Coturnix japonica: one gene and its partner. The protein of the gene in region 1 binds, or shares a complex with, the protein of each later gene. Links are inferred from orthologs where the notes say so. Each region holds a gene or a part of one and is shown in the gene's direction. Other genes may lie near its edges.

What was found.
Region 2: CHD5 (region 1) and CDK2AP2 share a complex: the UniProt entries of both Homo sapiens proteins name them as parts of the nucleosome remodeling and deacetylase (NuRD) repressor complex. The link is inferred for Coturnix japonica from reciprocal best matches to the Homo sapiens genes CHD5 and CDK2AP2.

The regions. Positions count from the first base shown.
Region 1 is NC_029536.1:533,045-536,853, forward strand, and holds part of CHD5 (chromodomain-helicase-DNA-binding protein 5), read left to right. Parts: coding exon 1-125; intron 126-730; coding exon 731-962; intron 963-1,051; coding exon 1,052-1,177; intron 1,178-1,289; coding exon 1,290-1,462; intron 1,463-2,188; coding exon 2,189-2,363; intron 2,364-2,677; coding exon 2,678-2,764; intron 2,765-3,203; coding exon 3,204-3,292; intron 3,293-3,443; coding exon 3,444-3,577; intron 3,578-3,751; coding exon 3,752-3,809. UniProt on the Homo sapiens protein: ATP-dependent chromatin-remodeling factor that binds DNA through histones and regulates gene transcription. May specifically recognize and bind trimethylated 'Lys-27' (H3K27me3) and non-methylated 'Lys-4' of histone H3.
Region 2 is NC_029520.1:567,012-569,623, forward strand, and holds CDK2AP2 (cyclin-dependent kinase 2-associated protein 2), read left to right. Parts: upstream 1-760; 5' UTR 761-888; coding exon 889-958; intron 959-1,149; exon of another isoform or gene 1,150-1,187; coding exon 1,188-1,264; intron 1,265-1,360; coding exon 1,361-1,493; intron 1,494-1,579; coding exon 1,580-1,647; 3' UTR 1,648-1,819; downstream 1,820-2,612. Other genes in the region: CABP2 (calcium-binding protein 2), read left to right, coding at 54-201, 362-387; PITPNM1 (membrane-associated phosphatidylinositol transfer protein 1), read left to right, coding at 2,195-2,272. UniProt on the Homo sapiens protein: Acts as a component of the histone deacetylase NuRD complex which participates in the remodeling of chromatin.

The DNA.
Region 1 (3,809 bases):
CTCCTGGTGCTCAGCAGTTCTGCTTTCTCCTCTCTACCCGCGCTGGTGGTCTGGGCATAAACCTTGCTACGGCTGACACAGTCATTATTTATGATTCTGACTGGAATCCCCACAATGACATCCAGGTTTATTACTTTTTCTTTTCCTTCCAGTACAGTAAGTACCTTTCTGGATGGGCCCCCTGTGCATTCTGCCAGTGAAATGAGCTCTCTCCTCTTGAGAGCTGCTGATGGTTCCTGCAGTTTGCAGGACATAGTTCTGTTCAGGAGCTGTTTGCACACCTCTATTGGCCTTACCTTGGCCTGTCAGCAATGCAGGGGTGGACTGGCCACTAAAACTGGCTTTCTTCCATGAGCTTCTGCCCTTCTCCTGCTGTTTGTCTGCAACCTAGTGTCCCTTCCTGTTCTGGGGACTTTCCACTTGCATTTCCAAAAGCTGTGGTAGATCCTATCTAAGGACTGATCTGCAGCCAGAGGATTCCTAGGAGGAGCTTTTCTGCACTGCCTTCAAGCCTTTCAATTAGGGGCCATGCACGAGGAAGGTGGCCTGCTCTGTAGTCAGAGGAGGGGGAAGGAGGAGTGTAAAGCCTACAGGTTGGCTCTAAGGAGCCCCTTTTGCTCCACTGCCCCATAGCAGCCTGAGATCAGCTTCTGGCTGAGGGGGTCCAAGACTGGGCTGGCTGCAGATGTGCCAACATTGGCTGTTCTGCAGTGATGTTCTCTGCCTGCAGGCATTCAGCAGAGCACACCGCATCGGGCAGAACAAGAAAGTAATGATATACCGCTTTGTGACAAGAGCCTCCGTGGAAGAGCGCATCACCCAGGTGGCCAAAAGGAAGATGATGCTCACCCACCTGGTGGTCCGTCCTGGGCTTGGCTCAAAGTCAGGCTCCATGACCAAGCAAGAGCTGGATGACATCCTGAAGTTTGGGACAGAAGAGCTCTTCAAGGATGATGTGGAAGGTTGGGTCAGGAGGGAGCTGGAGATGCTCAGAGCAAAGCCAAGCCCTGCTGGAGCTGCAGGGGCTCATTCCTGTGCCTTCCACTTGCAGGCATGGTGTCTCAGGGACAGCGGCTCACCATGCCGGATGCCGTCACCCCTTTCTCTGACACGCTGTCCACCAAAGGGGGTGCAGTGACTCCTGGCATGAAAAAAAAGCATGGTGGCACCCCACCAGGTCTGTAGCCCCTGTTACTGGGATGACTTTGCCCTGTGTCCAGCCTGATCTTGCCTGGCTCTGGGAGCACACAGTGTGATTTGCTTTCTGTTCCCCTTGCTTTGCCCTCCAGGTGACAATAAGGATGTGGATGACAGCAGTGTGATCCACTATGACGATGCTGCTATCTCTAAGCTTCTGGACCGAAACCAGGATGCGACCGATGACACGGAGCTGCAGAACATGAACGAGTATCTCAGCTCCTTTAAAGTGGCCCAGTATGTTGTGAGAGAAGAGGATGGTGTGGTAATGTGATCAGTATCATGTCTTATAATCACATCTGTTTGTATGTCCCTGTTTGTGCTTCTTCCTCTGCCTTTTTTGTTCCTGTGGGGGTTTCTCTGCAGGGCAGTACTCCTCCCTGCTCATTGCTGATGGTAGCAGTGATGGTGCAGCCAGCAGGACTGCAATGGCTAAATGTGGTTCTGACCTATTGTGACCTATCGCTCTTCTGGTACTTGGTTCTGTTCTTCTGAAGGCTGCTATTCTGAATACTGGGAGCAGGGCACGGTGCTGCTCATGCATTGTGCTGCTGTCATTTATTCTCCCTGTAGCTAACAGACTTCCTTCAGCTGTCTCTCAAGCTGATAGTGGGCTGCTATTCAGGGCAATCTCTGTGGATCTGTGATTGTTCCCTGGATGTGAGCACAGGCCGGATGGCAGTGTTCTCAGGAGCTATTTCTAGGTATAGGTGGCTGACTGGGAGGTTGTCTCAGCCCTTTGATAACCGTGCACTGAGGTCAGTGCATTTGGGTGAAAGTGAGACTCTGTGTACATGCATGTAGAGCAGGGTGAAGGAGGCACACCACTGGGTGGTCAAAGCATGTCTGAACATCTTGCTTACCAGCAAGTGTCTCAGTGCCCTCCTTCCATCCCTCTTCCCTAAAGCTCAGTAGAAGACGCACAGCAGTGTGGTGCAGGGAGGTCTGCAGCTCTCTTGTCTCAAGCCTTTTTGGTTTCCTTTCTTTGCAGGAGGAGGTGGAACGTGAGATCATCAAACAAGAGGAGAATGTGGACCCTGACTACTGGGAGAAGCTGCTGCGGCACCACTATGAGCAGCAGCAGGAAGATCTGGCCAGGAACTTGGGGAAGGGGAAGAGAATCCGCAAGCAGGTCAATTACAATGATGCCTCTCAGGAGGACCAAGGTATGGCTTTGACTGCTTGGCTCAGGTCTGGGAGCAGGCTCTGTGATTTTTGTTTCCTTTTGGCCTGTAACTGGGAAAGAATTGAGGAGAAACCTGACTGTGGGCAAAGTATTTAAAACTGGTTTGTTTTTTTATTTTCTGTGAAGGAAACTAATAATAATGGAAAAGTTGAGTCTGGTTTCCTGTTTATTTCTGGGTCTTTCTCTCTGGCTACCTGGGACTGGATGCTGGGGGCAGTGTCAGGGCTCCTGTTGTCCCCTTGAGGCAAGCTTGCAGGGTTCTCTCTCCTGACCTTGTCTCCTTGTGGTCTGCAGAGTGGCAGGACGAGCTCTCTGACAACCAGTCTGAGTACTCCATTGGCTCTGAGGATGAAGATGAAGACTTTGAAGAAAGACCAGAAGGTCAGAGTGAGTTAATGGACTTGATAATCTACAATGTCCTCTGCAGGAACTTCAGTGATAGCCTGTGATTTGGGGTGGGCTGGCACTCAAATGCAGCAGGGAGGTCTGAGCTGAAGAGACTGCCTTGCTTCTGGGGAGGCATTCTTTGCCCTGCTGGGTGAGGCAGTTCTCAGCACAGGGAGCATGACTTGCTGGCTAATGTAGGGCTTTGGTCTTGTCCTTGTGGTAGCAGTATCTGGTCTTCAGTGCCTCCCCTGGCATGAGGAGGCCACGTGAGTGAAAGGGCACTCTGAACAACCCTGACTGCCGCTGTGTGCAGGTTCCACTCCCATTGGGAAGGGTTATGGGAAGCTTAGGGCACAGGGGTTGATCAGCATTAGGTCTTTGGCCATCCCTCTGTTGGCTGGGCACGTTTGTTACATAGGTTGTATGACTGCAGGTGGCAGAAGACAATCACGGAGGCAGCTGAAGAGTGACCGGGACAAACCTCTCCCTCCTTTGCTGGCAAGAGTTGGGGGGAATATTGAAGTGAGTGTCAGCACTGGCCAAAGCATGTCCCTTGTCTGTCTGGTCCGGTTTGTGCTGCTCTTCAGCATCAGTCCTGGCTCAGGACCTGTAGCAGCTGTGAGGCTCTGAGATGTCATCATTTCTGAGGCCTCCCAACCTCTGCTCCCTGCAGGTTCTGGGGTTCAATGCCCGGCAGCGCAAAGCCTTCCTGAACGCCATCATGCGGTGGGGAATGCCGCCCCAGGATGCCTTCAACTCTCACTGGCTGGTGAGGGATCTGCGAGGGAAGAGTGAGAAAGAGTTCAGGTACTGTGATCAGGCATGAAGATGCCTGTGAGGCGTTCATCTCAAACTGCTCCATGATGCCATGTGCTGGAGGGCAAAACTCTGCCCTTGGCCGCTGGTGAAAACAGGCACTGCGGGTGCTCAGCAGGGAGCTCTTGGTCCAAGCTAGAGCCAGCTCTTGCTTTCTTTCCACAGGGCTTATGTCTCCCTGTTCATGCGACATTTGTGTGAACCTGGAGCTGATGGTGCAGAG
Region 2 (2,612 bases), on another chromosome or scaffold:
AGGGGGTGCAGTGCTGGGAGCACAGTGGTGATGCTGGGTCTCCTATGGGGCAGTTCGACACCAATGGGGACGGGCAGATCAGCATGGCGGAGCTGCGGGAGGCCATGAGGAAGCTGCTGGGCCAGCAGCTCAACTACCGCGAGGTGGACGAGATCCTCAAGGACGTGGATCTCAATGGGGACGGCCTGGTGGACTTTGAAGGTAAATGGGGGCAGGGTGAAGGAGGGGGGGGGGGCCCTATTGATCCCAGCTTTAACTGGGGGACAATGGAGCCATGGATGGGGGGGCCTCCCTATTGCCAGCTGTATTTGGGGCTTATTGCCGGCTTTATTTGGGGTTAATGCTGTGGTTCTTTGTGCAGAGTTTGTGCGGATGATGTCGCGCTGAAGGGCCGGGACTCGCCGCCGTGCCTTACCGGGAGGAGGAGGAGGAGGAGGAGGAGGCGGCCTTCCCGGGCCTGCGCTGCCCCTCATGGTGTGTGTGGGGGGGGAGCTCCGGTGTTGGAGCCCCGTGTCGGTGTGTTGGCAGCGCTGCCGGTTCGCAATGAAGCTGTGTGCCGCCGGGTGCCGTGTGCCCGTCCGTTGAGTGCCGGGGGAGGCCTCTGGCCCTCGCTGTGGGGGTGGGGGTGATGGGGGGGTGCAGGACGCCGCTGGTCTCCATGGTGATGGGAGCCCGGCGCGCCATGTTTGCGTATCGGCGGCGTGCGCCTCGTGACGTCATCACCGCGCTCCCCCGACAGCGCAGGCCGGCTCCCTTCGTGCCGTCGACCAATCGGCGCCGCCGGGTCGCTCCGTCTGACCAATCAGCGGGAGGTTGTGGGGGGGGGTCGCCCCGCTCGCTTCCGTCTCCTGCACACGGCGGGCGCCGCTCGGCCCGGAGCGCTGCGGGATGTCCTACAAACCCATCGCGCCCGCACCCAGCGCCAGCCCCGCCCCGGGGCCCGCAGCCACGGCCGCCGGTGAGAGGAGCCCCGGGGATAGAGCGGGGGTGGGGGGAGAAGAGGGCGTAAGGAGGGGCACGAGGCCTGAGGGGCGGCGGGGCCTAAGGGAGAGGGACGGAGAGTGCGGAGGGGAGTCGGGGCTGAGGGAGGGAGCGGACGGAGCTGGGCCCGAGCGGGGCCGGGCTGAGGGGTGACGGGCCCGGCCCCAGTGCGAAGGAAGGGCCGGACCCGGGGTCGCTCCCCGCAGCTCCCAGCGTCCCTTCGCCGTCCGCCTTCCGCCCGCTCTTCAACGACTTCGGGCCGCCGTCCATGGGCTACGTGCAGGTGAGCCCGCGGGGCAGGGGCACGCGGCGGGAGGGCGGCGTGGGGCGACGCTGAGCCCCCCCCCCTCCGTCCTCCTCGCCTTCCATCCCCTGTCAGACCATGAAGCCGCCCGGCGCTCCGGGCTCGCAGAGCACCTACAGCGACCTGCTGTCTGTCATCGAGGAGATGGGCAGGGAGATCCGGCCCACCTACGCCGGCAGCAAGAGCGCCATGGAGCGGCTCAAGCGGGGTAACGAGCCCGGGGGGCGACCCTCTGTGACCCTCCCCCCCCCTTAAGCCCGGAGCTCAGTGCTCACTCATATCCCCCCCATTCAGGGATCATCCACGCTCGGGCGCTGGTTCGGGAGTGCTTGGCCGAGACAGAGCGCAACGCCCGCACGTGACAGCAGCCCCCCGACCCCCCCCCCCCCCCCGAGCCCCGCCGGTGGCTCCCCCCGAACGGGGCCACCCCCGGGGCTCCCCCCGCCCCAACCTTCCGGCTTTTATAAATAAAGGACGTGCTGCATCCCCCCCCTTATAAAGGAAATCCTCCTTCCAAGCCCCCAATTCCCCATATATACCGCTCCGTTTTAATTTCCCGGTCCGCCGCCCCCCCGCTTCTGACGTCCCCTCTGACGTCACGCCCCCCCCCACGCTGTTCCACCTCCTGACGTCAGCGGGCGCCCCCCACGCCGTGACGTCACACAGCGCGGGGCCGGCTCAGAGCGGCGCAGGTTCGGAAGGGGCCGAGCGCAGCCGAAGGGAACCGAAAGGAGCCGAAGGGTGACGGAAACAGCCGAAGGGAGCCGAGAGCGCGGCCGAGCGGGCGGGGGGCGCGTTGCTATGGCAGTGGGGAGGGCCCGGCCGAAGCGGGCCGGGCCGGGGCCGGGTTAACGGCGGAGGGCCGCGGAGCCCCCCCCACCCCTCGCCCCTTCCCCTAAACACGGCGCCATGCTGATCAAGGAGTACCACATCCTGCTGCCCATGAGCCTGGAGGAGTACCAGGTAGCGCAGCTCTACATGATCCAGGTGCGGATGGGGCCTGGGCTGCGGCCCGGGGGGGGGGGTCGTGTGGGGCCCGGGATCGTGTGGAGCCGTGGGGGGGTGCAGGAATGTGGGGCTTAGGGTGGAGGTCAGCGGGTTCGAGGCTGAGGGATATGGGGGTCAATGTGGAGCTTGGGGGGTTGAGGATGGTCTGGGGGATGGAGGCGTCTCTTATGGAGTCTGGGGGAGTGCAGGAGGATGAGGCAGAAAGTGAGGGTTAGGGCTGAGCTGGGGCTATGGGGAGCTATGGAATTATGGGGCTGAGAGAGAGGGGGTTGGGGTGATTCAGAGCTGGAGGGGGCTGTTTCTGGGTAGTATGGAGCTT